Linked DNA regions of Drosophila melanogaster. The protein of the gene in region 1 interacts with the protein of each later gene in a pairwise test. Each region holds a gene or a part of one and is shown on either strand. Other genes may lie near its edges.

The links.
Region 2: the proteins of CG5890 (region 1) and IP3K2 interact in a two-hybrid assay, tested with the Drosophila melanogaster proteins (2 studies listed by BioGRID).

What each region holds. Positions count from the first base shown.
Region 1 is NT_033777.3:25,854,603-25,859,465, reverse strand, and holds the start of CG5890 (uncharacterized protein), read right to left. Parts: upstream 3,313-4,863; 5' UTR 2,493-3,312; intron 1-2,492.
Region 2 is NC_004354.4:13,303,422-13,308,736, forward strand, and holds the start of IP3K2 (inositol 1,4,5-triphosphate kinase 2), read left to right. Parts: upstream 1-2,093; 5' UTR 2,094-2,458; coding exon 2,459-3,526; exon of another isoform or gene 3,527-4,583; intron 4,584-5,315.

The DNA.
Region 1 (4,863 bases):
TCACGCTGGGAATGGCTTGCGGTTGCCTTTGGTGGCATAAAATGCTTACATATACATATTTAAAGCCCTTTAAATGGTTCGTGGTTATATTATGTACGAAGAAAATATAACACAATAATATTTAACGCAAATGTATGGTTTCACTTAAAAAAAGTTAAATGCGAACAACACTTTTGGTATTTTATTATAATATTCTTTGGTAACTTGATACTTGTGTGGCCTTTGGTGCAAGTTACTTAACTGAAAGTCAGTTCGTTTGAACAGGCTTAATTATTCAACGAGGTCTGGACGTTTGGCGATTGTCACGCCCTTTGCTCATTACTCACTTAGGCCAAGACAATATCATTCGATTGGGCCAGTAATTACCAGTGTCATTGAATGGCCCACACATCTAACACCCAAAGTGATTAGGCACTTTATAGCCGAAAAGCGTTGAATCACTTTGCAGCTCACAGCTGCGGTTCTCGTTTGGTATTGCCTTGCGTGTCTTTGCGTTTTCCTTAGAGTTTCCTTTTGGCCAAGGCCAAGGTGTTTTGACCTTTAACCGGTAAGTAATAGTGCCCAGATGTGCTGCACAAAATGTTTAAATTTAACATATATCATCTACCAATATTTATTTTGTGTGCTGTCATCGATGCTCATTCCAATAATTGAATATTTGAATGATCAGCCATTATATGGCGTCCACTCACCAGGTTTTTATTATATTTTATTTTATTTTTTACAGTTTCCAAGTTCATTTTTTCAATGTTGGCTCGTGTGAATTTTATTTATAACTTTTCTATTTACAGTTTCGTGTAGCATACATCCCGGCGACCGCCCCTTTGCCCCGCATTCACCCACTTGCAAAACAACAGCAGCCACTTTTATGTAGGCTCTGTACCTGTATCTGTGTGTGCGCCGTGTGTGTGAGTGGGGATGTCTCTGTGTGTGGATGAATGAAACTAGAGCGCACCTTGATTCTATTTTTAAATGCCACACAAAACAACAATTGTCGCTTAGTTGCGCGTTAAGTGTTTTTCATCCAGCTTCCCGCGACCAAGTTCATTTTATTCTTAGGATGCAGATGCAGCTTTTCTCGGCTAGAAGCACTTAAAATAGTTGGCCAGGGATTATATAAATAGATGACAGCGAATTTAGTTTGGCAAGGACCTTGTCGTGTAAAATCGCTTAAAATATATATATTAAATCTCCATATATTTGATTAATTACATAATGTGATTTACACTACTTGAAGTTACTTTTCAAATCGGTGAAATTAGATTACAATATGACCAAATCAATCACGAATCAATGTCGCACGAGTTGGAAAACTATGCCAAGTTGACTTTTTAATCGGCTTGTGCATCTAAATGGAATTGGCATTTATTTTATGGTTTATTGCCAAGCGGCACGATAGTTGCTTTTGTTGCTTATCAATTGTTGCGCACAACTTTTGTTTGTTTGTTTCCTTTTAACAGCTTGTCACGGATTAAATGACACGGAAATTGGGTTGAATAATGGGAATTTTTAATGACGCAATTTAAACGCCATGTAAAAAGAGTTTTACCACTTCTGGGAATAATTCATTTTGTAATATTGTTAAAGAAAATAAAACAAACAAATCGTATACTCAAGGAATATGTTAGTATATTCGATTCTCACCCATATATTACCGCAATGCTAAAAAATAACATATGTAAAGCTTCACTATTTTGGAAAATTATAAACAAGTTGTCGACACTTCTGCCAAAAGTTAAAAATATGTATGAACAATTTAATATATTTTCACAGTGCCGTAAACAGTAAACAATTGCAGCCAGGTGCGTCTTCAAACACAGATTCTTATTTGTTTAAATAAATATGAAAATTAACATTTCAATAGTAAATCGAAGCCTCACATCCAATTTTAAATATAATCTCACAAAAATACTCTTTGATGCGTTTTTTAAACATTTTCATTATTTTCCTCAATTATTGAATGAAAAACCTGGCACAGCTCAAACTTCAAATAGAGCCCATAAATATTTTCCATAATTTTGCGAAAAATAAACAAAATATTCCAGACTGTTTTTTCGCATTTTTCAAGGTGAGTGTGTGAATTTTCACTAGCCTGCGTGTGTGTGTGTGTGGGTGCCTCTGCGAAAATGCGATGGTGTGCGTGCGTGCGACTTTGGCGCCTAGTCAAATAAATCGCATGCGATTAAAATTTTATACAAATAGCTTTAGAAGCGTGCGTTTTGCTTTGTTGTGTTTCATTTGCCGTGCCATTTCCACCTTTTCACTGTTTGTTTTCCATTTTTTTTTTTTCATTTCTAGTCTTAAGCTGCGTTGTTTTTGGTTTTTTTATGGGGGCATGGCGTCAGTTAAATGAGTTGTTGTTTATAGTTCTTGAGCATGTGTGCGAAAAATTTGCATTTGTAGCGTAACGCTTTTGTTTACTTTGTAGGTTAGTTTGTTGGCCCATTGACTTATATACACACACTCGGCTAAAATATAACATATATATTTACCTTCGATGCCTTTTGATGGTGACGGCAGCAGCGGCGGCGGCGGCGGCAGCAGCGGCGTTGACGAAGAAAGCGGCGAAAGCAGACGGAGAAATTGGCCAAAACGGAGATGAGGGAGGTAGGAGGAGTTGGTGATGGCTGATGGTTGAGATGGGTGGTAGTGGGCGGTTGGGTGGTGGTGGGTGGTATTAACCTCAAAGCATGTCAGCAAACAGCTCCTCGAAAGCACTTGACTTGACTCCTTTCGATATTTATATTTTCCTGCCCTCCTTTGCGTGCCTCGTTTTAATTTGTTAATGATTTGGGCTTATTCATTTATTTGCATTATTTGGCGCTCACTCTTCCTAACTCTGCTTATTTGGTGTTATGTTACATTTTAGCAAAACTTGCGGTCCTGTCTCAACGATTGTTGTTGCTGTGCGGAAAATGCCAAGCAGCAAATGTAGCACGAGCAGCAGCAGCGGAAAAAGAAACAAGAGGAAAAACTGTATCTTTTAGATCCGGGCATATCCTTTATCTCGAACAGCGACTGCGACGCTGGCTGAGGCAGCAGCTGTAGCTGTAGCTGGAAAATTTCCTCCAACTTGTTTGTCTAACTCTCGCGTTGCTTTTCAAAACGATGTTTTAGCATTTAAGTTAAATTTAAAGCTGCAAGCTGCAATGATACAGCAGCAACAATCGTTTCCATATATAAAATCCAGCAAAAGAAGAACTCGATAGCAGCAAAAACCGCGCAGCGTTTTCCCCGTTTACCGTTTCGCCGTCAGACACACACTTTTCCCACAAATAAAGCCAGAAACCGTTCGACGCGCGCACGCGAGTGTCCTATACACAACTGATTACAGGACTGCGAAAATGGAAAATGTTTGCCAGCAGCGACGCTTCGGCATTCGGTTTTCCCTCGCTCGGAAAATCTCCGGCTATCGCAGCCAGGCTTCTGTTGCCGAAATATCCGGAGCCACTCCGCCGGAGACGGAGAGCGAGTTCGCCGGAGAGTGGGTGCGCACTCACTTGGGTTGCGGGCGGCACATAGGGTATAGCATAGCCCTCGGCGGTTACAGTGGACTAAGTAGCCACATAACGCATATAATTAGTTTGAATTGTAATAATATTGGAAGAGCTGTTTTAAATGGCAAATATATTTACTTGACTGACAACGTGGCGTATGAGTAATTTTTAAAATATGTTACTAATGAAAGACAGCCTGTTTGTGACATTTAAATTCATGACAACTATTATTATATTGTATATTATAATAAAATAATTATTATTTTATTATAAATGATTTTGGATAAGAGAAGGAAATATTTATTTACAAAATCTAGAAATTGTTGAATTTATATCTCGCACATAAGAAGTACTGCTGAAAGCATCTTTAAGATAGTTATGAATCTTCCAACACCCTTGAAAGTAGCCCACTGTGCAAGCAACACTCATATTCCTCATTCATCTTGCTCAGCCCGCACAATTGGCTGCCAAAAGTATTGCCACACCAGTGTCGGCGACTTCGTCCTTTCACTTGAACGCCAAAAGTGAGGCAGTCTGGCAGCCTCTACTTTTCTGGTCCTGGTCCCCAGTGAGGGTCTTCTTCTGTTACGCTGCTGTTATCCTGCAGACCGCGAGGGTCCTGAGAAATGACACCCATGAGTTCAGGATGAATACGACGCCACGACAGCCAACCAATCCTCCATTTCGCACATATGTACATATGTACATACATCGCACATACCTATAGTGTACATATGTATGTACATATGCTCGTCTGTTGGACATTTGCACTGTTTTTTTTATACCAACGAACGGACGCGTAGGGTTTACAGCCAAATGACAAGTGCTTAGTGTTTTGCATATGCGTGTGTGCGTACACTGAGAAAAATTTAGTTTTATTTTTTTGATCTTTTATTCGTATATAATTCTCATAAATAACTCGAAATTATTTTATTTCACATATCTTACAAACTAAATGTATATTATTAAAAAATAAACACATTTCTATTAAGTTGATGAAAAATTTTTCAGTGCTGGATTTAGCGGCTTGATACCCCCATTCTCATTATTCAAGCTGGAAAATGGGCAGCTCGGGGATGGGGACAAGTGTTTGAAGCACTTGGCGCACGCTTGAGCGGCTTTCAAATTTAGCGTATTAACTCATTAAATGTTCAAAAGCTCATTGCCTGCGAAATGTGCACACATTTCTGTGAATGCGAGCGAGGGTGTGAAATATGCACAAGTATGACACTTTGGCACCGAGGGGAAGACAGTTTTAATACCGCTTAATGGGCAATCGGGCGGAAGAAGCTTGAAATAAATAGAATTCCCTATACTCCTAACAATATCAAAATTTTTAATTAAATTTCTAATGACCATGGAAGAA
Region 2 (5,315 bases), on another chromosome or scaffold:
CGTAAGTCATGTACGTAAATGGTTTTTGGTTTTTTATATTTTTTTTTTGTGTATAGCGGACTGTTCTCGGTTTTAATTTCGAAGAATTTAATCTGGGGTCGATTTCGTTTGGTTTTGTGTTTTGCAAAAAGTTGGTGTAAAGCGATAAAATGTTATTTGCGTCATTTGGTCTGATAGTTAACTATAAAAAGCAAGATGGGAACTTATTTATAAGCAGAAACATGAACACGATACGAACATGGGCAGAGCTATTTAATTTTGTTCATATTTCAACGGGAATTTTACAGCTTGTAATTGTTTACTAAAGACTGCTGCCAGTTTTAAACCATACAATTTAGTTTTTAATAAGTGCTTGTACTGCAAAATTTAATTATACCTTTTGTTTCGGTAAGCTTCATAAATCTGATCTTGAAAAACTAGTTAGTGCTTTAGTTGCTTTCCGGGAAAAGTTCTTAGTCAGCTGGGTTTTTTTTAATTCATTTTTTTTTTTTGGCGATAAATCACCGATTCGTCCCATTGTGCGTGACTGTGCGCTTGTAGTGGTGCTCGCAGAGTGCTTTATTGCATTGGGCTCGCATCGCCTGTCAGTCTGTCACTGTGTGTGCTGGTGTGCGTGCGCCTCTCTGTGTGTTCGCGCGTGTGTGTGTGTGTGCGACGTATCTGTGCCCGCTCAGTGCTCTGTGCTCAAATGCAATTTACAATTACGCGCGGCAATTGGAGCAGCTACCGTTGTGTGCGTGCGTACGTGCGGGATCATTGCACATTGCGTCAACGTTTCAAGATCACAATTACAATTACCCCGACGCAGTGGCAGTTGCAGTAGCACCAAAAAATCCATCTCAATTGCGAGAGAACCGAACAGTGGCAAAAGCAACCGAAAATTAAGTAAGGCACAGCAAATTTGTCGAAGAAAACTATCAACAATACAAGTAAATAAGAACGGCAGAACGGCCGCCCGCCCCCACAACAGCTGCTCTCCGTTGATGCGCCACTCCACTCCGCGGCTCAACGATTCTTCTATACAATTCTTCGAGCCTCCTCCCCTCGCCCATTCTCGCCCCACGAGACTCCCCTCCCCCCGCCCCCCACGCTGCTCTTCTCGATTCTTTTCGCCCCTCCCGCCGGCCCGCTGGAAAAAACGGGCAGAGCTGCAGAGCCGCAGAAAGCGATTTCAGTTCGGCGACGGCAGCGCACAGGTGCCATTCGGAAAGTGCGGACGTAGAATGTTTGCCGGGAATTCCAGTGGCATTTTCACCTATAGTTCCACTCGATTTTGCCTCGACGCCAGCGTTAGTAGCGCGTTTCGACGGAACACACAGATCGTTTTCCAACACCATAAGCACCATTTCACTTTTGAGTCTTTCCTTATCAGTCACTCCCAATCACTACCCAACCATCATCCACTACTCTTCACTAGTTTCTCTTTCTACTATCCTTTTTCTTATTATTCCCATCCTCCCTTTTAACTATCTTCACACACTCATTCTTAACGGAAATCTTCACTGTTTTTATGCTTTCTACTATCGTTCTATCCGCCAGCCTTTCACTTTTCACTCGCTTCTAACATTTACCATTCTAGCTATTTTTTTACCATCTCTTACCATTGAATTCTTTATATAAGCCTTAGTAAATTAGTATACAGAAAATAGTACGAATTTCCATTTTCCATTTTCTGCACTTTTTTCAACTTCTTCTGCTTACAACATCTTTCTTATCACCAATCCCATTACACTTTCTTGCATATTCCTATTTCATTTTTGCTGTTCTAACGAATCTCACACTTACTTCATTAGTCCCAACTCTTTGCTAACCTGGTGTATACATACCTTTACCCACCCCACCTCTACCCGCGATCCAGCCAATCCATCCATGTGAGATGAGTGCGTGCGACGGCGGTACGGGAACGGTTTCGCGAACGTCTGACGCCCCCGCTTTCCAATTCGATGTCATGCCAAAGATAACGACGTCGACGTCGACGTCGAAAGCGTCGGCAGCGAGGGCGAAAACGAAAACGACAGCAAAAGCAACAACAATTGGAAAAACAACAACGACGACAACGCGGAGAACGGTTAAAATTGAAAATAAATGGACGACGGCAGAGGCAACGGCGTTCAGTTATCAGCGGACAGCGGAGCAGATTGGAGCTAGTGCCCGAGCCAGAGCCAGAACCAAAGTAGCAGCTACAGTCAGAGCTAGAGCAAACCCAATTGCGGCCACATCCAATCAGCGAAGTGACATTGGTTATCCATGTGAGGTGGCATCCATCTCCGAGTTGGCCCTACGCAAGGCGCAGTTGAAAGCGCAATTTTTCGGCAATCAAGTGGGTGGATTAGCCCGCGATAGCGAGACAAGCAGCACCACTAGAATCACTCGCACCACCAACTACCGCAGTGCTTATCCCAGCTGCAAGACGGAACGAGGCAAGCCGGTGCAACAGCTAATCGATCAGTTCCAGGCCATGATTGTCCAGCAGCAGCAGCAGCAGCAGCTGAGCAACGAGGGCGAGCCCAAGACACTGCCCGGAGCCACTGCATCCAATTCGGATGAGGGCTGTAATGTCACCGGCGGCGGACTGAGTCCCTATAGCAGCGACAACGAGGATAACAGCCTATCGCCGAGGCAGCGCAAAATGAAGGTCACACGCTGTGCCAGTAGTGATTCCGCCCTGGGTCTGGACGTGGACGATGGCGGCATGGATGTGCCGTTGCCGCCACAACGTCGGATGACACTGACCGTAACGGATTTACCCCTGCGACCGGCCCTACTGCCACTGGCCGAACCCACAGCCCTGCCAGATTCGCCACTGACATCGCCCACCGGCGGTGGCAATCCGAGCGTGGGTGTGCCCACCAAGGTGCTGCTCGAGGAGCGAGTGGTAGCCGCACCGGGATCGCGACGTGAATCCACCCAGAGCTCGTACAGCGAACTGGGCGTCAGTGGACTGCCGCTGGGCGTGCGCTATGTGCGCACACCATCCGTCGTGGTTAGCGACTATTCGGATGACATAACCGCCTGCGGCATTAGCATGGAGGAAATGGAATACTTTCGTCTGCAGCGGGCGCGTGGTCAGCGGCGTTGTTCCCTGGAGGCGGGACATCACAGTCATAGCGGTGGACATGGCGCACATGGACACGGTGGATCGGGAGCGGCGGGAATGTCGCCGGGATGTGGCAAGGACGATGGCCAATCGGATGTCAGTGCAGCAAGCAGTTGCAGCAATCTCTACTATTGTGGATCCACCATTTCTGCCCTCGATGGTGGCGAGTGCATCGTGAATGGAGTTCGAGTTGCGCTCGCCAGGAAGAGCAGCACCCAGAGCAGCAGTCTCAGCGACGAGGAGGAGGAGGAGGAGGATGACGACGAGGATCGCGATGAGCAGGATCGCGATGAGGATGATCGCGATGCGGAGGAGATGCTTCAGGAGGATTACGAGCGGGGGGATCGCGAACGTGAGAGGGAGCGGCAGATCAGCGAACTAATGGCCGCCACGCAGCTTGGTGATCGTCAGCGGGATCGATCCAAGAAGGTAGGCGCCCGCGATGACGTCACAAACCAGGGAAATCTCAAACTAGACTAAAGAATTCGGGTTGGCAAAACGGACAAGTAACAAAGTGGAGCAGCCTAGTAAATTTAATATTAAACACTATTTTTTTTTTTTCGTTTTTAAATATCATTAATGATTGTTTGTGTTGTTGTTATCGAAAGCATAAAAGAGCAGTGAATGAGGGCAGGTCTGAATGGCAGCGAAAGAGATAAGCAAGTTGGTGCATATACACAGGGAGAAACGGGTGCTACGCGTAGATGAAATGTGGCATAATTAAAAAAAAAAAAAAACAATCTATTTTGCTCTAGAGCAGTATTATACCGTTTAGTTTATCAACTGCAAGACCATTATAACTATAGAAAAAGACTATAATAATAAGACTTTTACAATACGCATATCTATTAAATATAAAAAGAAAAAAAAAAACAAAGAAAATCCCTTGAACTACTGACTTGATAATGCGAATTACCACTAAGTTTCATCTTGTTTTAAAGATGATGAGATGATATATAGGCTCAAGAACGGTAATCCCGCGCCTTATCAGCTAATGGTTTTTCCACCTTGCATATGCAGGTCTTTTCTTTCAGTGTATGCGTTTGCTTAAAAGGCTATTAATTAATTAGAATTTTATCTTATCACTAAAATGAGGTTCTGTTACTCGGAGAAGTCTTTTTGTATTCTTCGCTTTTCGTTCGCTATAATAATTATCGTTTTTTTTTTTTTTTTTTTTTTTTTTTTGAGTGAATGAGAACGATATGATGGTGGTGATGTTGAAAAATAGGGGGTTCCTTGATAAAAAAAAAAAACAAGTATATATCTACGAAAATACGAAAACCTCGGATCCGTTGGTTTAATTCGTTTTTTTTTTCGTATCTAGAACTGCAAAACAAAACAACGGCAGCGATAGCGAGGAAAAGAGCTTATCTTAGTTAACTGTATACTGTATTATAGATAAATATTATGTACATATATAAGCCAGCACATATTTACGTTTATATAATGGCATCTTTTTTTTTTTGTGGTTTATTATTCCTTTTGTTGCTGTTGCTGTTGTCAGCAGACGGCGAAAAGTTTGTAAAGCAAATAAAAGTATTAGAAACCGAATTTTCGGAGTCATGATAACGATAATAAAGCAATTCACCTGGATATCTCATACATACATACATGTACATATGTGTATATGCAAGAGATATGGATATGTATGTTGTCTGATCGTATATGTATGTGTGCCAATGTGTGTTTGGTTAATAATGTTACGCGCTTATCAAGCGGGTTTATCTGCCTGGCATTCATATAGCAATATATGGTATATATGTATATATATACCCTCACCGCCGACAAAAGCAATAATTGGAGGCATCCCAGAAATGGCCTGTTGTTCTTCTACTTTTTTTTAAGCCACGGGCATGCGGCTTATATATGCTTAATACGATATACTATCTACTGTATAGTGTGGTTATATCTATGATGATCCCATCCGCCAGTCTAACACAATTGTATAAAGCTCTGTCTTACGGGTTGTTGTTTTTTTCTTTTATTTTTTTTTTTATTATTATTTTTTTTTCTTTGCGGTGGGATGAGTGATAAGCGATTTTGGGTGATATCACGCATACGTCATCGTTCCCATTAGGATTCGCATATATGTCTATATGACACACGAGCCCTCGTGTCGTTGGGGGATTACTCTATAAGTCCCGGGGATTGTGTTTATAAGCACAAAAAACACTGTTGATAAGAAAGTATCTCACAGAGATGGAGACATTTCTGCAAG